2 linked regions of the Coturnix japonica genome follow. The protein of the gene in region 1 purifies or fractionates together with the protein of each later gene. This does not show direct contact. Links are inferred from orthologs where the notes say so. Each region holds a gene or a part of one and is shown on either strand. Other genes may lie near its edges. The genes, in order: GAN and NUDCD3.

Evidence for each region.
Region 2: the proteins of GAN (region 1) and NUDCD3 purify together in Homo sapiens (co-immunoprecipitation; 3 studies listed by BioGRID and IntAct, counting the BioPlex papers as one, with this or other methods). This does not show direct contact. The link is inferred for Coturnix japonica from reciprocal best matches to the Homo sapiens genes GAN and NUDCD3.

The regions. Positions count from the first base shown.
Region 1 is NC_029526.1:13,707,938-13,724,086, forward strand, and holds part of GAN (gigaxonin), read left to right. Parts: coding exon 1-35; intron 36-874; coding exon 875-1,225; intron 1,226-2,030; coding exon 2,031-2,248; intron 2,249-2,566; coding exon 2,567-2,688; intron 2,689-3,163; coding exon 3,164-3,276; intron 3,277-3,908; coding exon 3,909-4,058; intron 4,059-4,315; coding exon 4,316-4,452; intron 4,453-4,838; coding exon 4,839-4,967; intron 4,968-8,861; coding exon 8,862-8,971; intron 8,972-9,903; coding exon 9,904-10,085; 3' UTR 10,086-16,149. UniProt on the Homo sapiens protein: Probable cytoskeletal component that directly or indirectly plays an important role in neurofilament architecture.
Region 2 is NC_029537.1:88,265-101,905, forward strand, and holds the end of NUDCD3 (nudC domain-containing protein 3), read right to left. Parts: intron 11,071-13,641; coding exon 10,938-11,070; intron 7,761-10,937; coding exon 7,617-7,760; intron 4,006-7,616; coding exon 3,817-4,005; intron 3,698-3,816; coding exon 3,587-3,697; 3' UTR 3,463-3,586; downstream 1-3,462.

The sequences.
Region 1 (16,149 bases):
TGAAAGAGATACTAGATTACATCTTCAGTGGGCAGGTATGGTATTAAAAAGAACTAGATGGAAATTGAATTGTTTGACAAAACAACCTGGGTTTTAATGTTACTATAGCAGAAGATAAATCCATTGGGGATCACACTTTAAAGATTAGCGATGAAGAGACTGCAGAGTGGTACATCTCATATAGGTTCTGCCCGTGAAATAGAGGCAGCAAGTTCTGCAAGGAGTTCTCTCTTGTCACACTGTGGAAGAGGACTGAAAAATTCCATTTTAAATACTTGTATTAAACTGTCTTCAGTAGCCTGCTTTAATGTATGAATACTTTCACTACCAGAAAAGCAAACTGCATTGACAGCAGTGGAAGCTGAGACCCCATCACTGACCCCATATATTAAAGAACTGCAGGCATTCTGTCTGGTTCTCTGGCCTCCTGCTGGCCGTGTGCCCACTGTGTCTTTATTCCAGTAGCCTTAGCAGGAGTCAATGTGTGCAGTTCAGAGTGTGATGGCTGAACTACTTGAGCTTTAGGCAAAAGCAAAGAAGCAGATACATCCTGAGGTTCTTTCCTGGATGTGCTGCTTCTTGTTTAAAGGTAATTAATTTATTGCGGAAAAATCCATTGTAGGCTCTTGGATGAGAGCAGCAATTTCATGGTTCCCTCAGGTGCAAAATCCTGCTTTGACACCTTCTGTCAAGTCAATCCCTTCCCCTTCCTTGGTTAATTTATCAGTGTATAGTGGTTGTATTGATTTCTCTTAATTTTTGCAATGCTGTTAATATTCCATTTCCCAGCTGCTGCGAATGATTGTAGTGAATATGGACATGTCATGAAGCAAACGGGTGATAGTAGCGATAACTTCTAAATTAATTCTTGCAGATCAGGCTAAATGAAGAAACTATCCAAGATGTGGTACAGGCAGCTGATCTCCTGCTGCTTACAGACTTAAAAACTCTCTGCTGTGAGTTTTTAGAAGGTTGCATAGCTGCTGAGAACTGTATTGGTATTCGGGACTTTGCACTGCACTATTGTTTGCATCATGTTCACTACCTTGCCTCAGAGTATCTGGAAACTCATTTTCGAGATGTCAGCAGCACAGAGGAATTCTTGGAACTGACTCCTCAAAAACTGAAAGAAGTGCTGTCGATGGAAAAGCTCAACGTTGGAAATGAAAGATACGTCTTTGAAGCAGTGATTAGGTGGATTTCTCATGATTCAGAATCAAGAAAGGTCAGGATGCTAAAAGGGTTATTTTTTAATGTGACTTAAATTATTGTGCTTATTCTGATGGGTGGGAACTTCAGGTAGAACTGTAGAGTCATTTAGTCACGAGATCATTGAGTTCAGACATCATGTAACAGTACCAAGTCTTAAACCCCACCACCCAGCTTGATGTCCACATGACCCTGAAATACCTCCAGGGTTGGGGATGCCACCACCTCCTGGGGCAGCCCGCTCCAATGCCTCCCCACTCCTTTCATAGGAAATTCCTGCTAACATCCATCTCAACCTCCCTTTGAACAACCTCAGGTAGTTTCCTCGTGTCCTGTCGCTTCACTCCTCTTTGCTGTAACCTCTTTTCAGGTGGTTGTAGAGAGCAATGAGTTCTCCCCTCAGCCTCCTTTTCTCCAGACTAAACAGTCCCTGCTCCCTCAGCTGCTCCGTGTATATCTTGTGTTCTAGAAATGCTATTTTCAGAGCTAATCTAATAATAGTTGAATTTTGCCAGAAAAGCAGACCATGTCATTGTAGTAAGAGGGTGAATGAAAGCTGTGTTGATAAATCGTTTCTTGTCTTTATTATTTAATAGGCCTTAAGAGGAAAAAAGAAACCCATTGACACTCAATGATATAATGTTGATCTCAGAGAGAGAAAGCAAGTAGCACATTTGTAGTGAAACTTCAGAGAATTCTTAATTCCGTTCGATTTTGTTACTTATTCCAAACGCTGTGTAAAGTTTTTGTTAGTCTGTGTGTGAATGCATTGGCATCATCCCATGGAGTCTGGGGAATGTTGAGTTGGTCTCTTTCTCTAGGTTCACATGAAGGATGTCATGTCAGCAGTGTGGGTTTCAGGCTTAGATGCGGCGTATTTACGTGAGCAGATGATGAGCGAACCTCTGGTACGGGAGATTGTGAAAGAATGCAACAATATCCCACTCACGCCACCTCAGCAGGGAGAGGCCATGCTGGCCTCATTCAAGCCCCGCGGTTACTCGGAGTGTATCGTGACCGTTGGTGGAGAAGAAAGAGTGTAAGTATTGAGTGGCACTGCGGGTTGATATGAGTGGGCAGATAGAAACATCAGGGTGGAGCATCTGAGAACGCAGCATTTGCACCTCAGTCCTAAAAATAATGCAGGTCAATACAACGTGAATGAGGTGTGCCTGCTTTTTTATGTCTGGTGTGTAGAAAACTAAGCTTCCATTTGGTTTGGAGATTTTCTCCTTATCAGGGGAATGCTGTGCTCTATGAATGTGTGCTGTGGACAAATTGGCTTTAGATACAAGTAGTTAATGGTGAACTTGTAAAACTGTGTTTTGGTTTTGTTTGTTCCCCACCTTGTGTTCAGATCCCGGAAACCAACCTCAGTGATGCGGTGTATGTGTCCTCTTTATGATCCCAATAGACAGCTCTGGATTGAACTTGCTCCTATGAGTATTCCAAGGATCAATCATGGAGTATTGTCAGCAGGTAAAGGGGAACTTTGTTTTTGTAAAGGCAGCGTTATGGAAACATACCAATGCCTCAAAGTGTGAGATACAGTTTACGTATGTTTTTTCTTTAAGATTATGTTGCACTGGGCTTATTTCATGCTTCCCCTTTGTCTGCCCAAAACATCACTTTATTCTGTGAAAATCCCTGTCATATGAGTGTCTTATAGTCGCTATTCCCGCAGTCTCTGTGGGAATCTGCTCATCTGTTTCTCCAGGAGTATTTTGTGTTTTAAGTAAATTCTAGTTGCTGCATCACTGAATATGTTAAAGAGTATCTGTGGCGGTTGGCTTGAGTATGGGTTTGAACATGTGCTTTACTTCTTCCAGTCCCAAGTGTGACCTGTGACCGATCTGAAGCTCTTAGCAAAGCGTAGCGTACAGCTCACCATTCTGATTGCCTTGCTCTGTACATGAGTCCTGTTTTTAAGATCACGTTGCATTTTGTTTTACAGAAGGGTTTTTATTTGTGCTCGGTGGTCAGGATGAAAACAAGGGAACGTTGAGCTCGGGAGAGAAATATGATCCAGACACCAACTCCTGGAGTTCGTTGCCACCGATGAATGAGGTAAAGATCATTGTTTGACTCTTGGAGTTGGTTTTTCTTTTTCCTACTTCAGCAAAACATTCAGTTGTTTCTGCAGGATTATAGTCTGAATCTCTGATCATTTGCATCGTGTGCATTCAGAGTCATGGTAGGGTTTGCTTCCTGCTTATACCCTGTTGTTACCTGCAGCCTGCTAACAGCTGCAGGAGTGGCAAACACAAACTGTTACTGAAGAGCTGCTTCAAAGAGGAACTTGAGGAATTCCTTGCTGTCGAGGGCCTGTACTTGAGCTCAAAGGAAATCCACGTTTGTAGTTGTGATGCACTTTGAGAGTACAGACCTGAAAAGTTTCATTGTGGAGACCACTGCTGTGCAGACTGAAATACGGCCAAGCTCTGTTCTAAGGTTTCTGCAGGGTCTCTTTTGCTTTTGCTGCTCTGTTTGTTTGTTTTTAGTACCCTTTGTATTCTTTAATTGGAGAATATAATAATCTTATTTGTGAGATTCAGACTTCATTGTATTAAAAAATAACAGAAAAACCACTGTAGTAATTGATACCAGTATCACTTGTCTGACAGACACGAGAGAAGATTGTATTGACTGCTCAGTTAGCAGTTATGTTTTACAGTGCTGACCTCATTGATATCCCTTAGGCACGACATAATTTTGGTGTGGTGGAGATTGATGGAATTCTGTATATTCTGGGAGGTGAGGATGGTGAAAGGGAACTAATCTCTATGGAGAGTTACGATATCTATAACCGTACCTGGACCAAGCAGCCGGACTTGACCATGGTTAGAAAGGTAAGAGCTACATTGTATTTTACCACCTTCCTTGCTGTTAAACAGTTTCAACTATCCTGTGTATCATAAGGCTTTGTTTCAATTAGAAACTCTTAACAAGTGGCAGGGAAATGAGAGCAGGTCCCTTGTTAATGTGTATGTTAGAACCATGACTGAATGTTTATGTATAATATACATAAATGTGCAGAAGTGTGTGTATAATCAATTTTCAGCTCTGGATATCGCGTGTTTATGTGCAATTTTCTTTTTTCTTTGAGATTGGCTGCTATGCAGCTATGAAGAAGAAAATCTATGCAATGGGTGGAGGCTCCTATGGGAAGCTCTTTGAGTCTGTTGAATGTTACGACCCCAGGACTCAACAGTGGACAGCCATCTGTCCTCTGAAAGAGAGAAGGTGGGTGAAGGTGAAGCTTGGGGGGAGAGGGATGGATAGATTGCTGGAGTGTATCCAGTCTGAGCCCTCCAAAATGGTTCCTAAAGCACCATTATTATGGTGGCTGAGTAAAGAGAAGAATCCAACCCATCAAAATGTGCTTAGCATGTCACAAGCAATGCTATCCTGAAGCAAAATGAAGAGTAGAGGTTGTCATCCAATTGGAACTTCAGCTTTTTCTCTAGAGATAAATACATTACTGTAGTGGTAAATACATATATTTTTTTTCATCAATACATGTTATATCTAAAAATACATGTAAAAAATGAGAGAACTCAGAAGGATGGAATGTTTTATTTTATCTTCTGATTGTGTTTTTTGCTTCTTTTTCCTTTCTGGATTCCCAGGTTTGGGGCAGTGGCCTGTGGAGTTGCCTCTGAGCTTTATGTGTTTGGGGGGGTCAGGAGTCGTGATGACAGCCAAGCCAGCGAGATGGTGACGTGTAAATCTGAATTTTATCATGATGAATTTAAAAGGTAACTAATTACAGCTATAAACCTGGGGAATGCATACAGATCAGCAGTCACAGTTGGTTGGCTCTGGAAACAGTGTAGATTCTTGTCATAAGAAAAGGTGCTGTGGGTGCTGTTCAGTCCACAGTTGCCTCCAGATGCTACACGTGGCCGATCTCCTCTTGTTTGTTTTGAATTTGTTTCTGGTGATTTCATTTGTTATCTCTTGGCTTTTGTTTTAGAATCTGCTTCGCTGCATGTGGTAACTGCTTTAAACATAGCTTACATTAGGCTGAATTTTATGGATAGTTAATTCATGCTCCGGGTGTCACTGGGAAACTTTTGTACCTGCACTCTTTTCTTTTTGCATTCAACTATAAATGGGATTTCTTTGCTTTTTTTTTTTTTTCTTCTTAACTGAATTGAAATAAGACTCTGCTGTCAGATATCTCAAAGTGAGTTAAATATGGCAGAGAGAACTAAATCTGTTACAAGATTGCATCTTTGAATGTAGCCTATATAAAAGCACATAAAAATCGTATAGCAGTGGGGAATTTATTATATAACTTCAATCTCTGTATGAAATGGACTTTTAGTTGTTCTAAGTCACATCCATGTGAGCCCTGACCAAAAGAAGCTGGAGAGGAAATGCACGTCAAGGTGGTTATGGGAAGCAGACAGATAAGAGTTGCTACTGATCCTCCCTGGTGTTTTTTGTTTCTTTGGGGCCATGGGGAAATGTTATAAGCAAATAAGGCTCAGGACAGGAGGGTTTGCAGAAGAAAAATTCTGGAAATAAATGCTTTCCGACAAACTACCTCCTGGTTTTGGTTGACCTGACGGAAATGTTTCCAGACTGATGCTGTTCCTCAGAAGGTGCTTTGTGGCTCACAGTTCCTTACCAGTGACTGTAAACCTGTCTCACTGGTTGGTGCAGTTTGAGCGCAGGTGAGTTGGTGCCACCTGCTGTCTGTAGCACCGGTTCCTGCCAGGCCTGCGTTTCTCTGTTTTTGCTTAGTGGCATCCTAGGGAGTTACAGGATTCAAGTAAAGGTATGATGCAGTTCCAGTTCAGCTCTTGATTTTGTACCCCATCAGTCATGCGAGTGCCACAAGGGCTGTGCTGGCACAAGGTGAGATAGCAGTAGTCTGAATGTCCAGCTGCAGCTGGAGGCACCTGTAGGGAGCTGCTCAGATTGTCTCTTTGTCCTTCTGCCTTGCCAGTGTGTGTCATTTGTTTGGGAAATTCATCTTGATGTGAACCTGAGTTGGGGCTGTAGGCAGCTCCCGGGTGACCAGGACAGTCACCAGCAGTGCTACCTTTGCACTAAGCACTTCTTTGCTCTCTGGTTTGGGTAGAGCCCGTTTTCCCCCTCTGGAGCAAGAAGTGATGTTACTTACCAGGAGAGGGTGCTGTGATACCATGCTCTGTTACTACATCAGCCAGCAGGGACTGGCAGTTATCCCCAGATCCAGACACAGCCACACTTTGCAGGTTGAGTGCCATCTGTCACAGGCAGGGCAGGGCTTGAGGAGCCTGAGCTGTGTCTGCTTAGGGACAGTTCCTCCTTTTCATTAGTGCATGGCTAATGTGATACATACAGAGACTGATTCGTCATCTTAATGTTTCACAGTTACTACAGGTTATTAATTTATTATTGAAAAGCATGTATATTTCTACAGTGATAGTAGTTGCATATTGTTATCTCATTCTTCCTAACAAGCCACATCGTTTTCTGGCTGGGTTTAATTAACTTCAGAACTCCATTACGTTTGCTTTCTTTATGAGTATAAAAGCACTTCTGGTTGTTTGAGTTCAGCCTTCAGATATTGCTGGTTCACAGCTATGGGCAGCAATGGGCACATCTCATATATGTGTCATATCTCTCATTACCTGTGAGTAGAGGATGTAGCATCATCCTAGGAGCACGCAAGGAACTGAGTTACAAGTTTTGCTTAGTGTGTAAGAATAAGCATATGCAATTACATCAGTGCGTAAATCTGTTTTGGATTGGATGAAAGGAATGAGGCTTGACCTTATTCTGATGGCAACTGAGTCCAAAACAATTCACAGTGCATAGTCTTTCAGAATTGCAGTGCTTAAGTACAATAGAGACTCGTCCAAGGACTGGGAATGTGCGGAGCTCAAACATTGTGAGTCCTGCTACAGAATGCTACATAAACAAGTAGTGAAATAAATGAAGTGAGATGGAATAGTAACATAACATGGAATATAAGCAGAATGCTGTGGTAATTTATATTGTATTTGGCAATAACTGTAACTGAAATGTTTCTGTTAATAAATATTTTGTCAGTTTGTCTTTGGGATTACACGAGTGAGAGCAGGCAGGTAGATCCCAATTGGAGAGCAGCTTCCTTGAGGCTGGAGATGCGGACTTAAAGGCGATGGGTTGAGCTTTGTGTATGCTGTGCTCTTTTAAAATGCTACTCAAGATAGTAGTAGAAGGGTCTCCCATGCAGTATCCAGGAATCTCGTTACAAAGAAATGCTTGATATAAGGGGAAACCTGACCGCTATCAGTTGGCCAGTTAAGAGGAACACAGAAGAGGTTTTCCTTTGTTTGTAGGCTTCCTTTCACAGCTGGTGTGAGCTTATGGTGACGTGCATGGAATACACGGGCCCTGTTTTGTGCCTCTAAGTGCTTCCCATTTGGAAATAAAAGTTACCATCCTGCTTATTGCTTCCAGCAGTTCAGATGGATTTATTTGTCTGTACCGCTTTAAGACAGGGGGGAAAAAAAAAAAGAGGATTCCTTCCCTTTTTAAAAGGTTTCAGTGGAAGCATATTTCAGTTTGATAGTAATTGTTTTTGTCTCTAGTTAGGCGCCGTCTCCTCCGCTGCTCTCGGGTTGGGTTTGAGGAGAGCCATCCTGGAGGAGCATGTGAGAGTTACGTTCCGGAGAGTGTTTGTACATTCCTTTTTTATGGTGTTTTTTCCATACTGTTCCAGCAGTGGGCACAGCCCACATTGAGCTGGAGCTTCGTCAAGTGCTGATGAAATGTGACCCCTTGCCCTTCCTGTCTTTGTTCCTTCCTAGTTCTAACTGTGAAAACTGCTGTAAGCGTTCCTGAAAAGTTGTGGCTGTTCTTTTAAAGGACGTGCAGAGAAAGGTTGAGAGCGATTTTTCACAAGCAACTACAGATACTTTAATTTCTTCTCTTTATTCTGAAGTGCAGCAGTAGTGAAATGGTTGGGTCCCACACTTTTGTCCATTTAAACTGGAGCCCTGTGTTTCTAGTAGAGCCAACCCGTGGAGTTCATTTGATTTCTGAACTTGATGAGTATCTAAACTAACCCATCAAGTGCTGTATTTTTCCTTCCCTTGACACAGTATTTACCACTGAAAAGCAAAACGACCCCTTCTTCCCCAACAAACCTACAGTCTTCCTTCTCCATTTCTCTGCCTTTTATGCACCTTTCTTAGTTTGGGGTTACTTGGTGCTAAAGGTGAAAATACTGAATCTGTCCCCTTCCCATAGTGAGGGGAGCTACTGAAACTTGCTGAAGGGTGTTTTGTGGTGCAGCAGAGCCACAGTGATTGAGAAGAGGATTGCTTTCCTCTCATTATAGTTATGTTCTTGTCCTCTGCGACAGCTACAGAGGACAACATTCCCATGCTTTTCCCATTCCCTTGCTTTTCCTAGAACTCCAATCATTCCTTGTGCAGCACAGACAAAAAAATGGAGGGAGAAACTTTTAAAAGGCAAACTAAGGGATTAGCTGTCCCAAGGCAAATGGTGTGTAACAGCATCTCCTTCAGTGCCAGAAGGGAGACTTACTTCTGAATCATGAAGTAGGACATCATGGGGTTTTCAAAGGTCAGCTGTGAGAATATTTCTGAACTTTTCCCTCAAATTAGCCAGAAATCATATAGCAGTTCTTTGTTATTTTCTTACAGGTGGATTTATCTAAATGACCAGAACCTGTGTATCCCAACGAGCTCTTCTTTCGTGTATGGAGCTGTGCCTATTGGAGCCAGCATTTACGTGATTGGAGATCTTGATACAGGTCAGAATTAGAACTGATATTGTTGTTAGAACTAATTGTTGTTGTTGCTGGACCTCTTCAAAAAGAAATCGTGTACTGTAAACATTCGGTTGTTTAGCTGCTTGAAGACTGGAAGAAATCAAGACCAAGAGATTGTCAATGCTTTCATGTAAATATGAGAACAAAAGTTAGTGCCCGGGCTGTTCATCCTATCTGTATGGGAACTGTTGAGTCCCAGCCTGAACCACTGATTGAGCACCCGGTCAGCCCTGGGAGCACAAATGAAAGCAATTCAACTGTGGGACTGGAAGGGCTGCAGACCCCATATAAGGGCTGACTGCCCCTGGGGAAGGATCTCTGGTTGGAGATCCCTCCTTGGTGAAGCATTCTCTTGTGAACCTGGAATGTTCTGGTACAGGTGAGCTTCCCTTATAGCACCTTTCTATCATGCTGGTCCTTCTGTCATCACACCTTTGTTATAGTGCCTTTCCCACTGTGCTGATCTGTCCAGTTGCTGTACCATCCTTGCAGCGCTAAGCAGATGGTTCTGTGTTTTGGGCCCTCATCATGTGCTTCCCCTGGCTGTGGTGGTGGCCCTTACCTCTCTGTCTTAACCACACTCAGGTGTACTAACAAACACATTCAGTACTCCTCCTTCACAATTGCCAGCACTTGGCCCGACTGTAAAAGACGTGCGGGAGATGTTTTCATAGCTGTGTATCTGTAAAACTGGGCTTTCTAAGGAATATAGAACAGCAAAAGTCCAAGTGATGTGTATCAGAATAGAAGAAATGTCACAGTTTCCTTTTGAGAATGATTTCAGCAGTGTATCCAGAAGTTTTCAGTCCTGTGCATGCTCTTGTTCCCACATCTCCCTTACTAGAGGTGTAACATGCTGGTGGGTCCAACATGTCTTTAAGCATTCTTCTCTCTTTCTCCATGTGTGGGTTTAGGTACGAATTACGACTACGTTAGAGAATTTAAGAGGAGCACAGGGACGTGGCAGCGCACCAAGCCGCTGTTCCCGTCGGACCTTCGCCGTACTGGCTGTGCAGCCTTGCGGATTGCAAACTGCAAGCTCTTTCGACTGCAGCTCCAGCAGGGGTTATTCCGCATCCGCGTACCTTCCCCATGATCCGTGTGCTGACAGTGAGGAGACTGGAAAAGTTCTGCGCAGTCCACCATATGTAGCTCTATTTAAAGGAAAAAGCTGAGAAATTACAGCTGAAACTTACACTGTATGCTGTGCTTTGGTATGGTAACTGTTTTTGTTTTAAATGCTTAAAAAGCTTGAGTCTCAGTTCTTGTTTCGGGAACAAATAACTTACGTAAACATTAAAAAGAAGAGAGGGGGAAAACGAGGGGGGATCGAGGAAACGCCTTCAGTCGTAACCATTTGGACTTTACAGTGTGGGATTGAAGGAGATCAGCTCTGTCTGGAACTGGTGGGAACTGGTATTCCTATGGTGAAGTTTATTGGAAAGAGAGAAAGATTTAAGGTGCGTTTCCCTTGGGGGGGAACCGATAAGAATAAATGCGCTATCTTGGACCAGATAGCTCTAATATGCAGAAGCTCTATGAAAACCAACCTCCCTGGTGTACTGCAAAGACTGCTGCTTGACTGTGATGCCGCAGGAGGCGTTGGTTGTTGCACCTTTCACTTCTAGTCCTTCCTTAAAGCTAAGGTCTGTGCCTAAAAATGGTGGTGGTGTGTACATACGTTTTTTCATTCATTTGCAATGTTTTCATTCCTAAAAATATTTTTAATATATTTTAAATGGACTAATCTAAAATGGATGCAGTATACTACAGAGAAGTAAACTGTGCTGGTTTATTTTATGCTGACATTTGGATAGCCTGATGGACTGGTATATAGGTGGGTGGCATGTGTTTCTGCATGGGGTTTTAGAGGTCATTTCCTTGCAGTCAGAGGAAATGGTTTTTTGGAATGGTTTGGGACAATTGCTGCTCTCAGTAAAAGACAGCAACAAGTAAAGAGAGTAGGTTGTGTTCCTTCTTACTTCGAGGTGCTTGAAAACTAGGAGGATGTTGGGGTTTTTTTTTGTTTATTTTATGTCTGAGGGTTATGGAAAGAAACATTTTATCTCTGGAGCAAAGACAGAATATGGTAAGAATACGTTTGTTTCACAGATATCAGATTTTTGGATTATCACCTGCAGGAAATTTGTACGGCTGTTTTAAACTGGGATCAAAAGTTGGTTTGCTAATGATTTCCATGCTAGGGCACAGAGTCTTGTTTACTGCTGTTTGTCTTTGAGAGCTGGGCTGTGGTTATAGTGAGGAATTCAGTATCTGGCATTTTATTTCCTGTTGAGTCGTGTTCATGTCAGCTGTGATGTTCGACTGACTTCTGTTCTTGGTAGAGATGGGCTGGTAGGACACTTTACCTCACTTCTTGATTTCGCTGTTGTTTGTGATGGGTGGGATGTAACCTGTGGTTATTTAGAAGTTATTTAAAAGGAATAAAATGAGAGAGGTAGAAATAGAAATGAGGCCTCCTGCCCTTCAACAAAAGAGATTTTGTATAATCAGTATTATAACTAAGTACAGTACTTTCCACGCTGCAACTTCATGGACCTCAGACAAGCCAATCTCTGCCCTCGGTTGTGTTAGCATCAACCTTTGTCATAGTTACTGAACCTTCTTAGATCTGCTGCAATGCAATCCTGAACCAGAGTTGTATTCAACTAAACATTCCCCAAGGAGGTGTTCTGAAACTTGCTGTTGCTCAGTCCTTCCACAGTGCTGATGCGTAGTGGGAATTACTCGGATTCTGAGAAAAGGGGTGGGGAAAAAAAGGCCACAAAAGAGGGCAGCAGTCGATCCATTAGCCGTTATTTATTTATTCTTATTTCTTACAGTGCTGAATTGCTGCGAAACTTGAACTATTGACATCAATTTTCTGACCTCTCTTAGTCGGCGTATTAAAAAGTTTATATAATATTTATGCATTGCGGTAAACTTGATGCGTGTGTATATATGTGTCTTTAGGTTTAAAATTTATATATAATGCTTTACTACGGAAATGTGAACCACTATTTCCATCTTCAGCCATCTTGTGAAATAAATCAAGCACTGTTGGCTCATCTATAAAACCTCCCCTTTTCAGAAATTTCATGTTAATTTTGACTCTTAGACAAAGTGCTGAGATCCTGCATTCAAAAGTGATGAGACTGAATGTTTCTAAGTATCTGAACTTTGTCTTCTAAGTGCTTGGAAAACTCTCAGATCCTGTATGCAGACTATTGCAGGCTGCTATCTCCTGAGTCCCTGTAGCTCCCCAGTACACTTGAGGGCATTTAGTGTCCAGAAGGCCTAAGTAATAAATGCACATAATTAATCCAAATCACGTATACATTAGCAGTGTTTTGCAGTTAAAGATATTAAACGGATGTTTACAGTTAAAGTAGAATTAACAGTAGGTATTCTTACGTGTTTTGTTGTTGTTTTTTTTTTAAGGGCAAGTAAAGCAAGCAGTTCTGCTCCAACCGAAGTGTATTGCAAATGTGCTCAGTTAGATTTGGCCAAGAAACTTAAGCCTCTTCACCTGAAGCAGTTAACAGTTGGTCAGGGACCAGCCCTCTGCCAACACCTGTACCTTGAGTTTCAGGTACGTTCTCAAGGCAGAAATGTAGGTGCTCCTGAGATCTCAACATCGTCTTTGTTGGCCTCACCTGAAGATGTTTGTGTTGTGGTTTTGTGTTATGTTAGTGAGCGGCTCCTGGAGAGCTGCTGGGTGCAGGGGAAGGTGGGAGGTGTCAGTTGGGGTCTGTCTGCATGATGAGTGACCAGTGCCTCTCTGGGAATGTGAAATTCCACTCCAGGCTGGAGCTGGGCCTGGAAGACAAGGCCCTGCTTTCCAAGAGAGAGCCCTGCTGTACTGCTAATGGTGTGTGAGATGGATGGCTGGTCTCCGTGCAAGGTGGTTGTCTTGATAGGGAGGATTTGATTCCAGAGGTGCTGAATGGAAGGCACTGACCAGCTTCCTGAGTTATAGGGTTGAATTGGGTTCACTGGTAGGTGCTGTCTCGCAGCTCCCCTTGCTGCCCTGGCATCTGCCTCCCCCTGCACGGGATGACCAAACCACGCCTGAAGCAGCTCCTGCATTTTTTCAGCTTCCAATCCAGGAGTTTTCGAATATCTGTCAGTTTAGTAACTATTGAAGTTGTCCTTGCTTGGCATGGTGCTCTTGATAGCCAGTCCAGCTCAGTTCCTTCCAGCTTGAATCAGCCTTCATAAATCCAGCTGGTTCCCCCACAGGTAACTTGTTGAGTGTGAGCTGCCTGTGCACTGTGCTGCTTTCTAGGGATCAGGGCAGCAGGCAGCTGTAGTGCCAAGGTTCCTGAGGCCAGGATCTGTGTCCCAGAAGTGCCACAGATGCAATGCTCACACTGCGGGTTTGGGGTGGCCATATCCTGGGCTGAACCCTGCACGGTCCTGCACATCCTGCTGGTGTGGCCTTTCCTCCTCGCTGTGATGGGATTGGACAAACTGGTATGGAGTGGAAACTGCAGAAGACAGGAATCATGGTGATGGGTTCTTTCTTTTACCCCTCACTCCAACTTCTACCGCAGTCCCCTCCCGAAAAGTCTTTTATTCTTTTTCCCATGTATAAGAGATTGTTTTTGGAAAGCACAACTCCTGGCCTGGTCCCTGTTCCTCCCCTGTCCTGTGTGGGATGCTCTCCAGAGGGGCCAGCCCTGGGGTTCCAACTCTCGTCCTCTTCCTAAGCTGAAAAAGGGACGTCCTGTGTAGGGCCTTGTGTTCAGCGGTACTGCAGCAAGGTCTGCACATCTTTAGATAATTCATCAGCTGTTCCTCAAGTTTTCTTTGTTGTGGAAATGATGTATCAACTCGACTGCTTGGGTCAAGTGGCTTTCAGTAGCTTTGACAGTGCCTCATCTTTCAATTAAACTCAATGTGAGGTTACATGATAGGCAAACTTAACCAAGCCAGCTCAATGGTGAGTGCAGGCAGGCTTGCATCTCTTGTGTTTGACAGCACAGGACTTGAGTGTCACAGCATCTGCCTTCTGAGTCAGACTGCTTGCAGAAGGCACAAGTGTTTCCATCAGAGCTCCCAAGTGCCTGGCTTCCTTACCAACTCTCCTTCCAGAGAACATCAGGCAGCTTAATTCATTTTTTTTTTGTGCAGTATTTTTTGTGCCTGCATGACTCGGTAAATGCAGAACAAAAAGTGAGGGATATAGGGGCTGTTTTCCCTGCTTTGGCTGCAGCATCTCCGGTGAGCTCAGTAACAGCAGTGTCTGTACTGCCTGCCTGGCTGTTGGTGATGCACGTTTGCCATGCCAAGCGCAGGATGCAATAACAAACAGTAGTTGTTACAAGTGCCAAACTTCTGTTTCCTCTGTATGTAGCAGTAATTCAACTCTTCTGTTATATACGGAGGTGCTGAAAACTCACTGTGCTCCACAAGAGAGTAGCAATTCTTTTCTTTTTTTTTAACGAATGTTACTCAAAACACTAAATCTTTATTTTTTTTAATACTGTTTCTCAGTTTAGTGTTTTTCTCCTCACAGCTGCCTTCAGCCATCACTCCGTGTGGTGCATGAGGACACTGCTCTCTATTAGAGCACCAGTGCCATGCAAGTGCATCATAAATGGCAGCTGACGATAGGTAATAATAAAGTTAGAAATACTTGGATGAAGTACAATTCATTTGAGTTAATCTCATCTGCAGGAGGAAGGGTGTCTCTGGAGCTGTGTGGATATGGCCAAGGACACGGGCGTATCTAAGATTATAACTAAGGAGTGATTTTGTGCTGCTCAGTGATGCCTTTGGAAGACTTCTATTTGGAGTAGGGTATGGATCCTTTCTGCAATAAGCATCAAGGTTTTAGGGTTTGTGTTCTTGTTGCTCCTTGGAGTAGTTAAACAGCCTTTTCAGAGTGTGCTGTTAATTATGTGCATACTTGTTTTTTGAGGCAGAGGCTACTTATTCGGTGTTAACTTAGAGTACTTCCCTGCTGAGGACTGAGCTGGGGCCTGCGCTGCAGTCACTGGTGCTGTGGTGTTTGATGTTTGCTGTCTGCTGTTCTTGTTTGTTATTGGAGCCTAGAGCTGGGTTGGGTGGCACGCTGCTTTGGAAAGAAAAGGAAGGAGAGTTGTCTGAAGGTGGAGAAGCTGGGCCAGTGAAGTTGACTGGGACATATCAGTGTGCAGCCAGCGAGATATGGGTGAAGCACTGCTATGAAGATGACATCTGTGTGCCCTGAATGTTATGGATAGGTCACCGTATGGTTTGGTTCTTTCTTTTTACATTTATTCCAATGGGAGGAATTGCAACCAGGCTTTAAAGCAGCAACTCCAGTCAGCTTTGTCCTGTAAGACACTGCAGCCTGACCATGGCTGTGCTCCGGTAACCAGTTTTCTCAGTTCCTCGTTAACAGATAACCTGAAACAATGCATTAAAACCATTCTAAGTGCCTAATGAATCGGATGAGCATCTGCTAGAAGGTGTTAATGGTAATGGGGGCATCAAACAATAACCTGCTGCCAACAGCTGATTGCGCTGTACAGTGATACAGAATCTTAAAGGATTCTTTAAAATAGCTTATTCTGGGTAGCGGCTCCATTGTTCCAGAGATTATCATCTGTGTGTCAGACTTGTTTCGGAGGAGCTTCTGAAGGTTATTGGAAATAATGCCTTGAAAAATGAGCTGGAAGGCTGGAACTTCTCAGTGCAGACAGTTAAACCTCGCTGCTGCCCAGTATTTGTGCAGGATTTGCGTGTGGCTGATGCACACCTGCCCAGCACATCAGTAAATGAACTTCTCAATGCCATTGCCAACCTGTGCCCTTGAATTTTTGTAATGAAATGAGACTGTACCATACGCTCGTCTAAGCTGATGGATTTGATTACAGTGATAGACAGAAGCATCCCTGCCGTAAGTAACATCTATTATGTTGCTGATAAAAGTCAAAGATGTAATTTTTGTAATGCTCGGTGCTTTTGAATCACCACATGTTGCCCTTAGTTTTTCTTTGCCTTTCTTTTTTCCTGTCTTTTCACTTGCTGCCACGATGTCCTCTGGTTTTGTCAAGGGCGAGTTTCTTCTCTCCGTACTCCTAGCCCCAGTCACAACCCAAGGGATGTCATAAAGGCGGGCTGTACTGCAGGCTGCCTTTACAGACATCATTCCTGCCTGTCTGAATTGT
Region 2 (13,641 bases), on another chromosome or scaffold:
AAGCCCTGTGACCTGTAGTTGCGACCTAAGATGCCGTTGACGGGCGGTACAGGTGCGGGTAGTGTATATGAAGCGCAATGCGCGACGCTATAAAGGCTGGGCGCGCGAGTGAGCTCCCTAGAACTCAGCATTGATGGTCGGGAGTGTGGGGGCTCGCATCTGGTCCACGAGAGAGCAATCGTCGTCGCGCATGGGGTCATGTCCATCGGTGACAAGACCATGTAGACGCTGAGCAACTGGAATGGGGGTGGGGGTACAACTGTGGGGGCGTTCTGCGGACGGGCTCTGGGTGCACCCTCGTAGAAGGCGGGCCTGTAGCTCGATGCGCACGCGCGCGCCCCTGTTTCAGCTTAGCGGCACGAGCAGGGGGGGGCGTGCACGCCGAGGCGATGGCCACGGGTGCGACGCCGGTGGGATCTAGGATCGCGCGGTGTCATTCCGTTGAGCTCATCTGAGGGCAAACAGGGAACGGGTGCTGCACATAACCCTGCGCCTCTAGGCGCTCGCGCGTGCCTCCCCGCGCGCTTTGCGCGGGAGATGGAGGAGGAGGAACTTGAGGGGGGCCTATGGGAAACCTGAGGGATAGAAGGACTGGGGGTCTCTGTAGAACTGAAGGGTGTGGGAGAAGATGACCAAGGAGCATCTGCAGTTCTAAGCGAGGGCACGTGGACCGGGAGCGCAATTCTACTGCGTGGCGGGAGTCCTACGGGCCTCCCGCTGCGTGCATGCACACTCATGGCAAGGGCTCACGTAGCGCTGGAGACTCGCCCACCTCGGCATGCGCCCCCGGCCAACCACGGCGGAGCGTGGCCCCGTATCCCAGGCCCCCGCCCACGGATGCGCGAGTGGGGAGGCATATGCCATGCGTCAGCGGGGCGGTTCAATGCCCTCCCCCGCGCCGCCCCGCCAGTGGTAGCGCTGGGGCTGGGCTGGGGGGGTTAGAGAGGTGTTGGAGTCAGGGGGGTGCGCGCCTGATGCGCTGGGGGTAGGATTGGAGTTGTTCCCCCCCCCGCCACCACCCCGTTTATTGGGGGACTGGCGAGAGACTTGAGGGGGCTGTGTTTGCACCAACGGTTTGGGGACACTTGCGCGGGAATTATGGGTGGGGATTCGGGGGGGGGTTGGCCTGATATTCTGGGGGGGTTGGGGCTGCAGGAGCGGGGGCGATCGGCTCTGGTGGGATGGGGGGCCACGGGGACGGGGGGAGGGGGCTTCTATGGGCACGGGGGGTATGCGGTGTTAGCATTGGAGGGGATCTGGGAGCATGAGATATGGTGGGGATATATGGGAGTCATATTTGGATATAGTGATAAATATGGTAGAGTTATATGGGGGGGCGTCGGAGGGGAGAGGTGGAGAGTAGTTATCTGGGATGACTCATGGGATGCCGGGGTGCGGCCGTCCCGGGTACATTTTCATGGGCTCGTCGCGCCGGGTCCCTCGTGTGAAGCCGGGCGCGCCCGGATGTGGAGGATGCGGGGGGGCTGGAGGGACAGGTGGGGCGGGCGGGGGCGATCCGTCAAATTGCGGGTGGGGCCGGGGGGGCAGGGCGGGGGGGCAGCCCCCGGGCTGGGAGCTCCCTAGAACCTACCGGGCTGACTCGAGGCTGCTCCCTCCCCCCTTGTCCTGCGCGCTTGCTAACCTTTCTCTTACGGTCTGGGCCCGCTTTCCCGCACCCGCGCCGGCGGCGCGGGCGCCGAGCGAGCCCCGAGGCAGCGGTGGCCTGCCTGCCTTCTAGCCGGGGCTGGCTGGCGGCACGATGGCCACCACGGTACCGTGCGCCACCCCGCTCTACCGAGCCGAGAGTAACTGCAGTCTTCTAGGCGCATACTGGAAAAGCGTCAGCGCACATGTCGAGGCGTCGTGGCTCCCCAGAGGGCGCCCAACCCTCCCCCGCGACCGCCAACCCGTGGACCTTGACCATCGTGCCCCTTTACTTGGCGCGGAGTCTCCTTCGTAGAGCTGGTCGGGCCCGGCTCACTTCGGCTCAGGGCTCCAGAGTGGGACGTTGACCGTTACCGTGGTGGAAACATCGTCGCACAACGCGCCGCCAGCGCTATGAGCGCCCGCTCCGTCCGCTGCTCCTCGGCTCCGCTCGGCCCGCCCGGCGCGGGGGTGCGGGACGCGGGGAGGAGGAGGAGGAGGAGGGAGGAAGGAGGGGAGGGCGCTGCCGCCCGGGGGAGGCTCCAGCCCGGGGCTGCCCCCCCGCCGCCACAGGATCCCCCCGCCCCGCCCCAATCCCGCCCCTCCTCACCCCCCGTTAAGGCGGCGCGGGACCGAGCCGACCCCCCCCCCCCGGACGGCCCCGTACCCAGATCCCCACAAATACCCCAAATCCAGACGACCCCATCCCTAAATACCCCATAACCCACCGCCCCCCCCCCAACCCATATGTAACCCCTCCATACACCCCCCCATCCCCAGGACCCCCCAACACCCCGTACCGACCCCCCCGCCCCAACTCCCCCCAATGTCCCAAACGTTGTGCAACAGCCCCTCAGTTCTGCCCCAAAACGGGGTGGGGGGGGGGAAAACTCCCCAACCCCCCAGCACGGGGGACCCCCCTGAGCCTCCCCCCTGAGCCCCCCCCAGCCCACCCAGCCGCTACATGGGGGGGGGGGGGGCAGGTGACATGAAGCCCCACCCCCGTGGCGGGGCCGTGGATCGGGCCCACGCTGGGTTGGGGGGGGGGATGCGAGTGGGCGGCAGGCGGCGTTGCCATGGAGAACGTGGGCGGCCGTGGGCTGCGGCTGTTGCGCTGTCACCGGGGACGGACGGGGCGGGACCCCCGGAGCCACGGGCCGGCGATGTGCCCCGTGGCACCGTGGGACGCTGCTGCCCGCCGGGGGACGAACGGGCGGCGGCCCTCGAGTGGGGCTGGGACACCGCAGAGCCCCCACAGAACCCCAGTGTCCCTATGGTTCCCATGGTGCCCCATGCAGCGCTGCCCTCGTGGACCAGCTGCGCCCCACAAGTGACGGAGCATCGCCCCCATAGGCGGCATCGCCCCCACCCGTGTCCCCGAAGCGGCTCGCAGAGCCCCGCGCGGGGCACAAGGTTTTATTGCCGTGCCGACCCGGGGCTGGGACACGCGTGGAGCCCGTGGGGCAGAGCAGGGCGTGAGCCACCACTGAGGGAGCAGCCGGGGGGGGGGATGAGCAAAAGAAGCAAAAACCAGAAATATCCTCAACCACCAAAAATAATAATTATGTCACCAACGAGCTCCGTCTATTCCTGAAAACAACGGAGCCGTCGCCAGCGCGAGGAGAGGAGAGGAGAGAGAAGGGCCCGGTGCTGGATGCCGGTGTGGGTGGATGGGATGGGATGGGATGGGATGCGGATGGGATGGATATGGGAGGTGGATGGGATGGGATGGGATGGGATGGGATGGGATGGTGATGGTGAACAGGGATGGGGATGGTGATGGTGAACAGGGATGGGATGGATGGTGATGGATGAACAGGGATGGGATGGGATGGGATGCCACCCCCGTGCTGTGCTGATGCCGGCTGTGGGCACAGGGCATCCCACACCGGGTCTGGGGTCTCCCCTCCCCACGTCGCCGCTTGTCCCGCTTACACCGGGGTCAAAACTGCACGGCGCCGGGCGAGATGTTGAACATGGACGGGTCGAACTTCTGGCCGCGGAACGGGGAGCCCTCGGTGTCCCAGCCCTTCTTCAGCATCTCGTGCACCTTCTGCAAAGAACAGGGGGGTTTGTCACCGTGGGGCTGCCCCACACCCACCACCCCTGCCCCAGGGGGACATTGAGGACCCCCAGGGGGACAGGGCCTGGCTCCCGGCTGGGGGCACCCACCAGCTCGTGGCTCTGCGGTTTGCCCTGCAGCTTCTGGTGGTAGTCGAAGGTGAGGCGGTCCAGCACGGCGTGCTCCTCCTCGTCCACCGTGGCCATGGAGCGCTCCTTGTTGATCTTGTCGATGTCAATCTGCTCCTCGCCCTCCAGGACGGCGTTCCACCAGTACTCGTCCCCCTTGTTCAGGTTGATCTGGGGACAATGGATGGCTCAGGGAGTGGGGGATGTGTCACCCCAAACCCATCCAGCACCCTGAGCCCATGTCCCACCATGGGACACATCACCCTGAGCCCATGTCCCACCATGGGACACATCACCCTGAGCCCATGTCCCACCATGGGGATACAACACCCTGAGCCCATGTCCCACTATAGGGATACATCACCCTGAGCCCATGTCCCACCATGGGATTCATCACCCTGAGCCCATGTCCCACCATGGGACACATCACCCTGAGCCCATGTCCCACCATGGGATACAACACCCTGAGCCCATGTCCCACCATGGGGACACGTCACCAGGTCAGGGGACACAGTTGTAGCCATGGCCTGTGCAGACATCAGAGCATCACAGCCATCCTCCATCCCTGGTGGGGCAGCCCAAGGGAGGGGGGACGTCCCGTTGTCCCCAGCCCAACCACAGAACGGGGGCAGCCATGAAGGTTTGGGAGCCGATATTGGTGCAGGGGGTGGCTGTGCTCAGTCCTCCTGGGAGAGCAGTGCTGGCACAACAGCGCAGCGAGCTGAGGGCGGTGGGTTCCAGCACAGCAGCGAAGCACCTTCTGTCAGGCCAAACCCTGGGTGCTCACCCAGCACTGAGCACTAGGAGCACACAGCCATGGGGTCCACAGCCCCATAGCGGGCACACAGCCATGGGGTGCGTGGCCCCATAGCGGGCACACAGCCATGGGGTCCACAGCCCCATAGCGGGCACACAGCCATGGGGTGCGTGGCCCCATAGCGGGCACACAGCCATGGGGTGCGCGGCCCCATAGCGGGCACACAGCCCACACGGCAGGGCTGGCAGTGGGTGTGAAGCCCCCCGCAGAGCTGCAGCCCACGGCCCCTCTCCTCCTCCCAGCCCGGCTTTATTTACCACGTCCCGCTCCCACCCTGCTGGGAAGGCAGAATTATTCATTTCCTCGGCAGCGTTTCTGTGCATCACCGCCGCTCTGAGAGCTTTGCAAACAGTCCCAATGAACCTCTGCGGCCCACCTTGCGCGTGGGGGGGGTTTGCTCTGCCCCCGGATTCCAGGGGGACAGGACCGAAAGTGGGACCCCCCCCTGAGTCTGCAGCCCCACTTCCTAACAACCTCCAAGTGCCGGCAGGGTCACAAAGCTGCTGAGCTGTGGGTTTGGGGTTTGGGGTTTGGTTGGTGGTGCGGGGTCGGTTCCTTGCATGAGCGCTGCTCCAGCCGTGCTGTGCCCTGGGAGGTGGCCATGGAAGGTGGCTGCACACTGGAACCCTGCGGAGCTCTGCCAAGGGAACAGGGCTTCACCACAAGGACGGATAAATCTTGACCTGATTACGTTGCTCTTGTGCTCTGCCCCAGCTCGGAGCTGCAGGGAGGATCGGGTTCCAGGTGCCTCATGCTCAGGTTGCACATCTCTGCTTTGGGACCGGCAGATGCTGGAGCTGTATGAAGCCACGGGCTGGGGCAGGATGGGCTGCAGGGAGACCTGTGTGCTGCAGCACCGAGCGTCACCGTGTCACCTCCCATGTCCCCATATCCTGCGAGGAGGGGCCCAGTCCTTCGCTGCGTGTGCTGCGCTTTGCCATAGTGATGGGTTCCCTCCTGGATCCCGAGTGCTGCGTCAGATCTGGAGGGATGGGATGCTGCCAAAGGGTGGAAGCAGGACTTGGAAAAGCCACCTCCTGCCACCTGCTTCCCTTCCGACATGGCAGCAGCGGCCCTGGGAGCCAGCGGGGGACAGGAGCTGCTGAGGGGCACCAGGGCAAACTTCCAACGGCACATGGAGGTCGGGGAGTGCCACAGATTGTTATTAACTCCCCGCTCAGGAGATGACAGGCAAAGGATGTAAGAGCTGCTCGAGACAGAACTGGGTGACCAAAGCCTGAGCGTGGATCACAAACGTTGGAGAGGAGAGAAAGAGGGAATGGGGGAAAAGCTCCTCAACAACAAAAATAATCCCCAACGTGTTGTGCACAACACCCAGCAGAGCCTTCTAAATACGGCTCCTGCGAAGCTATTTTCATCTCCCTTTTGACAAGTGAGCAGGCGTGACAGCGAGGGGAGAGCACGGGGATTACGGCCGGGCTGCGGCGCCGGGCAGAGCAGGCAGCTCCACAGCCACAGCCCACGGGGTTCTGCCTCATCTGGGTGCCAAAGAGCCATGAAAGCACCCAAGGACATGAAATGTGCCGAGGGCTCGGCCAGATCTGGGAGTGAGGGGAATGGACAGGCACCGTCCAGACAGCGAGCACAGCGCTGGCACACTGAGCATGGCTTCATTGTGCCCCCATCTCACTGGAGGCTGCTGCCCCCGGCAGCTCACACGTCCTGCACGAAGATGCTCAGGACAAGCCCAGTGCTCACAGTTCCCTCCCAGCAGCTGAAGCACCAAATGGCTGCGTGTCTCCTGATGAATGAATGGAAGGAATCGCCCGGCGCTTTCGGCTACTCTGCGCACGGAGAAAGGAGACACTCTGGGGTTGAATTACTCACTCTGCTCCAGTTACCTTACAATTCTTCCAGAGACATTTCATCCCACCATCAATATGTTGGCAGCCAGCTGGAGATCCTCACAGCCCTGAGCTCGTGCTAATTTGAGGCTCCTGCCTCCAGCTCGGGTTGGAGATGAGGGGTCCGCTCCCCACGGTCACAGCAGAAAGCCCCGAGTCTCGCTCTGCCCACACTGCTCCCATCCTGTGTAACACCCTGCTGAGCTCAGGACACGGGCAGGCAATGCCAGCTGCCCACACACAGCCACGTGTGGATCAGCTCCTCCTGAACAATATTGCTCCTTCCCAGGATTGTGCACAAGCCCAAATCAGACGGTTTTCAAAAGTTCCATGTTTGAAAAGTGTTGATGAATGATCCCATTGTCTCCTTTCAAACATCCTTCAGACGGCCAACTGATCTGGAGATGCTCTTCTCTCCCATAGGGCCCTCCTGGCAGCTGGTCTCTTGCCCCAGGATACATCTTCAAGGCCAGGCTGGATGGGGTCTGGGCAGCCTGGTCTGGTACCAGCTGTTGGTGGCCCTGCCTGCGGCCGGGGGTTGGAGCTCCATGATCCATGGGGTCCCTTTCAACCCAGATCACAGAATCTGCCTGAGCATGATTTCTATGCATTTCCCTTGGCACTTCTGCACTCAATGGGATGAACCCGGTAGGATTCCTACTCTAAAGTCACAGCACCTTCGGGTGCCCATCAACTGCCTTCTGTTGTGGGAACAGTCCAGCAGCATCACCCCTCTGCCCACATCGCTAGAGCACACCAGAGACACCTGCAGCCAGCAGCAATTCACTGTGGGGCAGCAGATCCCATAACGAGCTGCTGCCCCCAAACCACCTCGACCAGGAAGACGTAAAAGGCAACGAGAAGCAGCTGCACTGACTGCTTCCAACAGGACCGGCAGCGTGTCAGAACCCCGGGGCAGCACAGAAACAAGCAGTGGGGTTTCCCCTTGCCTGGCACACATGAGCTGCACATTGCACAGGGACAGCCAGGGAAAGGCAGCGTGGGACGCAGCCAGCTCTGGCTCAAGCCTCCAGCTGCTCCCATTTTCCAGGCCAAGCACAGGGAGCTGCAAGGCAAGGCAAGGAGAGGGCAGCCCTTACCAAAACGCACTTCCCTGGCTCCAGGCTCCAGAGGGAACTCTCCGTGTTGATCTTGTGTGTGAGCTTCCCCTCCATGAGCACACGTTGGCTGCTCCCCTCCAGCACTGCCACGCGGATTGTGCTGCTGCTGATATCCACAGACACCTGGAAAGGCAGAGAGAAAAGCATCGCAAGGTTCCTGCTCCATTCCCTGCTGCGCTGCTTGGGGCATGGGGTCAAGAGCACTCGCTGAGGATGAGAGAGAGAGAAGAACCATCAGCTTGTACAGATGGAGGGTGGGAATCCCACTGCCATCTCGGAGCAAACAGCTCTGAGGTGAAAGGAAACCTCTCTGGGGAGCAGCAGGCAGCACCGCCCTGCAGAGACTCTCACAGACACTTCTCTGTGCCTCAGTTTCCCTTCCTGGACAACCAGCTCACAGACTGGGTGCCCACTTGCTGCGCTCCCCAGCTTTGTTTGGCCCCCAAGCCAAGGCACAGCCAGCACCAGGTTCCGTGCATGCACAGGGATGTCTGTGTGTCCCCCCTGCAGCAGTGATACAGGTAACCCTGCTGCGACCCGCCGTGAGGTGACGTGGCCCTCCCGGGGACACGGTGGCAGGCTGCCACTTGGCTGAGCTGCACAGAGCTGCCTCAGTCCCCAGAGAGCCCATCTGCTGCCGCCCTGCATGGCCAGGCTGCAAGGAGCAGGGCTGGGGGGGGGACAGCTCAGGGCCCCTGGTGCTGCTGGCCCTCACCCGAGAGGAGGAGACTGCAGTGAGATTTGCCTGCATTCTCTCCCAGAGTTCCCCCAGATCTTCCTCCCGCTCTGCAGAGCTAATTTGAAATGTTATTACATTATCCATTACCTAGGAGATCTCCAGTGACTCACTAGCTCCACGCAGGCGAGATGCGGGCAGAGCTGCTCCAGGCAGCGGCAGCACCGCGGCTGCAGGACCAGCAGCACCAGGCTGAGCCCTGAACCCATGTGGGTGTCAAGCGGCCATCACGGCACTGACACCCAGCACTGACACCCAGCACTGACACCCAGCACTGACACCCAGCACTGTGCCTGCAGGCCCTCACCTGGGGCGTGGATGTGACCACTGATGCTGCAGCTCCTCCAGGGTGCACAGACGGGACACATGGACCAGGCTGTGCTCACCTCAGCTCCCCATCCCCATCATACACATGTGGTCACTGCCAGCAGGTCTCTGAGCTCACCGAGGTGATCCCCAGTCCCCTTTATGGGGGTTTCCCTCTGAGGGCTGAGCAAAGGGCTGTGATGCTGCCAGCCCCAGGGCAGCACAGCACACACGGCCGTGGCACCGCGTTGTGCCGCACAGCACAGCCCTGCACCGGGCTGCACACCGCAGCGGCTCCCTGGAACACCCCCACCTGCCCCCACCAGCACAGCGAGCACACACAAAGCTGGGAGCCAACCTCGCTCATGTCCTGTGAGCCAGGCAGCAGAGGCTGCTGCTGTGATCTCTATTTCAGGGCTCCACGGGCCCCTGCTGCGCCTCTAAGTGGATCGGGGAGGTGGGGAACGCGAGCTGCTCCCACCCACCCCTTCTCCCCTTTCTGCTCCACGGCCACTCTGCGGAGCTCCATACAAGGAAACCTCCAGCCTACCCGAGTGAGAAGGTGCCATAGCAACAGCCTGAATCCAAAAAGTGTCAGGAGTGCCATTCCGAGCGGCGATGGAGCCGGGCACGCTCAGAGCCCAGGGACCAGACGGAGATTGTTAATCTCGTTCTGGCAGGCAGAAGCCAAAAAACTGATAATTATTTCAGGAGACGAAGCTGCGTGGGGAATGCAGGGAACGCTCCTGTTTTGCAGGAACCCATCAATAATCTGCCCCAAGTCCATCCAGCTTGAAAATTGCTTTGAACCGCCCTGCTCTGGCCTGTGACCCAGCCAGTATCTGCCTGTCCCCTCTGGCTGGAGAGACACAGAGCAGCTCTGAAATGAAAACCCGCCTGCAAGGGGCTGAGGGGAGCACTGGGGGGAGGCCAGGCCCGAGCAGGACATACACTGCCAGGACAAGGAAAGCCAAATGTTGGAGCTGTGGGTACAGAACTAAACGGGGTGCCATGGGGCTGCTCTGGGTCGGTGCACACCTGTGGGCACTTCAGGCTGCTGGCAGCAAATGCACCCCCAGCACAGCCTGCAGGGAGGCAGGAGAGGTCAGGAAAGCACGTCCTGTCCCAGCTCCTCGCTGCACCTGCATGGCCCCCGCAGCGCTGGGTGCCAAAGGATGGGCTGTGATGCTGGGATCTTGGCATGGGCACAACTCCCCAGCGCGTCCCCGGGCATCGCGAGCGCCATTCGATACAGAGGGGATGGAACATCCGTCTGGACACCCCTGAGCCCTTCCAAGGAACAGCCTGGCTTTGCTTTAGACACCCAATGGGAATGATGTATCTCACAGTCCCCCTGCTGTCCCCATGGCAGCCATCACCCCTTCAGCCTGGGCTGCTGCTGCCAATTACGCTCTGTTGGCACGCCAAGGAGCTGTGTAGGCTGCAGCCGGCGAGCAAACCCAAGCGTGCTCATTTCAGCTGTCCTGGAAGCAGCAGAGGAGAACGGGAGGTGGGGGAGCACCGACTTCCCAAATGGAAAAATACAGCAAGAGCTGCGGGCTGGGAGCACTGGGGAAAGCTGGGAGAGGTCAAACTCCTGGGGCCAGCACTCCCAGCCCTGTGTGTGCTCCTTGAGCTGCTCCTCACCCTGGCAAGCAAAGGCCAGGAGAAGAGGGACAGGAGAGGGGCCAAAGGACACCCAGTGTGGCCACATGCCACACATATGGCTCTGAGATGCACCCTCAGAAACAGGGTTTGGATTTTGGGTGGGCCTGTGTGGAGCCAGGGCTTGGACTCTGTGATTCCTGCAGGTCCAGCCTGTCTTGGGACGCTCTGTGGATCGGGGTCTCAGAAAGGCAAGTGATGCTCCAAGCCTGGAGAAGGTAGCAAGGACACATCCCTGTTCCTGCCCCACAGCCTGAGGGTGCTCAGGAGGAAGGGCAGCCCTGTCCGAGTGCACACAGGAGCCACAGTGGGACATGGAGCTCTGAGAGATGCCTGTGAGATTGCAGCAGGTGGAACTGGAGGAGAAAGCACAGAAAGTACAAAGCCAAGGAACCCTGCTGGGGCTCTGAGTAACAGGATGCAGCAGCCACAGCGGGAACGTGGCCAGGCTGGGACTGTGGGTCCCCACCACTGGAGCACAAGGCACGACCACATCCTGCAGAGCATCCCTGCTCCCAGCACAGCTCCCCAGGACAGCAGAGCACCCTGAGGGGAAGGAGATGCCTGAAGCCAAATTATTAACGTTGCTTTACCTGTTTGCCTTTCATGATGTGTTTGGGCACAGGCACTTTAATCTCCAGGTCGCTGTAGTCTTGGGACCAGGCATAATTCTCCCGCACTGCCCCGTTGTAGCTGTCGGGGTTCGTCTGGAACTGCTCCTGTCTCCTGGGAAGAACAAGTGAGAGGCTGAGTGTGGGGCAGCGCAGGGTGAGCAGGGAGGCTGGGAGCAGGGAGGGAGCAGAGCCTGCTGTGGCACCCTGTGGTGCTTCAGACAGTGGGGTGCACACAGGGAAAGGAAAAGGCACCCCAGCACCCCTCACCTCACGGCCAGTGAGGATGGCAATGAGACAGGGGGGGACACGGATGTCCCTTGGGCTGCCCAAAGGGTGCAGGGTTCAGGGATGGATGTGGAGGGATTTGGGGGGGATCAGATAAACCATCAGCAACACACCTTGAAATACCCAACACATCTCCAGCCAAGATGTCCCTACCAGCCTCACGCCCCTTTACATCACTGCTGTGCACCACTGAACCCCCCCGGAGAGGGCTTGGAAATAAAACAACCCCTTCCCAAAGCCGTCAGCGGAGCCACCAAAGAGCAGAGCTGCTCCTATACACACCCAGCCCTTGGCTTTACATAAGGGTGCAGGGGCTGTGCAGCCCCGGGGACCACGTCCCAACACCCCCACAGTGAGGGCGGGGGCGGCTCCCAGCCCCAAGCATTACGTAAGATCCACAGGGTTTAATTAAATTAGGCTCGGGAAGGGTCTGTGTGCACACACACGCCCGCACGCCTCTTTTTTTGGGTCCTTCTGGGGATGCTTTTGGGGCGGGCGCTGGGATGCTGCAGCCCTACATGAGCTGTGGGGGGTTTGCAGTGTGGTCACAGCTCCTGGTGCTGCCGGCCCTGGCTGAGCAGTGCTGTGCTGGCGGGGGGACCCTGCAACCACTTCTTTCTTTTCTCTTTTTTTTTTCCTTGGGAATTTTGGCCTTGCTTGGCGTTCACCCATTGGGTGCCCATTGCCATAGAAACGGGGTTGGCATGGCAGCACCGAAGCGGCGCTGGCGCTGGTTGGCTCCAGATGGCGGCTTCCAAACCACCCCCGGGCTGCGGGAGCTGGAGGGGCAGCAAGAACCGGGCACAGCGTTGGGGTGTCCCTGCTCCTGGGGTGTCACTGGGTCACAGGGGGGGCAGGACACACAGATGGCTGCAACATGGAGGAGCAGAGCTGGGCACAGTCTGCTCTCCGCTCTCTGCTCTGTGTGAAGGGATGCAGAAACCCATCTGGGCTCCACAACCAGCTGCACGTCCTCCCAGCGGTTCCCATCCTGCTCTGGCACGACCCAGGACAAGGCGCTTCTGGATGCTTTCACCTTTCAGGCACTGTGCCGAGCACGTGGCACCGTGACACGCAGGAACAAAGTGCCTTCATGGAGGACTCGGTGCTATGGAGCTGTTTCCATGGGGAGGCTGAGGCCGGGCTGCTCCATGCTGGATCCAGCTCCTTGCTTTGCTCTCCCTCTGCCCCCTTTGCCTGCACAGACCCATGGAGCACAGCACACGTGGGCTGAGGGCAAGAGAGAAGGGTGAAAAAGCAGCAGCTTTAAAGCCCGGGGTTTGGCACCGCGCACACCCGGCTGCCGGGTGGCGGGGATGGTGTGGGTGGGTCTGTGTGTTCTGTCTTGTTCTATTTTTGCTCACCATGTGTCATTTTGGGGGAGGTGAAACCTTTAACAATGCACGGTTAAGAAGCAGCAAATCTGGTGCTCCAAGGAGCTGCAGCGCGGCCGCACCGTCCCCATGGCACAGGGTCACCACGAGGGTCCCACCAGCACAGCAGCACACAGCACACAGCACAGCACAACACACTGCCGGCCCCACGCCGTGTCTCCCACTTGCTCAGCACTGATCCATGCTCATTGCTGAGTGCTGGTGCTCAGTGCTCTGTGTCCTGTCCTGTGGGGCTGTCTGCTCTTAGTCAAGGTGAATTATTTAGGCAGCTTGAAGGAAAATGTGTCAGAGCAGTCAGGCAGTGCAGATGTGGAGGGGAGCAGGAAACAGCCATGGCTGAAATGAGCGGAGCTGGCTGAGGGTGAGGTGGGTGATGTGGGTACGGGGCCAGGCCCAGCTGCCCATAAGCAGAAATGAAGGCTGAGCCCCCACCTGCTCTTAGAGGAGGTTCAGGTGACATCCCACCAAGCCCCACAAGCACATCCCAATGGCAAAGCAAACCTGTCCCGTCCTCCTCCACATGGAGCAGAGAAAGCAGAGGGGCACGGTGCTGCCCCAGGCCACCCCGCAGTGCACTAACACCCCACTAACACCCCAGCCTTTGTTACCCGCTGCTGAGGCCCCGTGTGATGCACCACGTCTCCCTCAAGCTCGAGAGGTAGCCGAGAATGGAAAGATCTCATTAAGTAATAATGAAGTTCTGAGAAAGGAGGGGAAGAGAAAATCAGGCACAAGGCGCCGCGTGCCTAACCCACATAAACACGCAGCCTTGCAGGGAGCTGCCTGGCATGTATTGCAGCCATCAGCTGCACAGATTGAGTTCTGCAACAGTTCTGCAATACAGCTCCAGAGCGAGAAGTGCCGCTCACGCTCAGCAGCCAGGGGACAACTGGGAGCCACCCAGGGGTCTGTCCCACGGGGCCGGGGCAGGAGGAACAACGGACGAGCTTCGATGATGAATGTGCCGAGGTTTTGCTCCCCGGAGCAACAGGTACCTGCGAGTG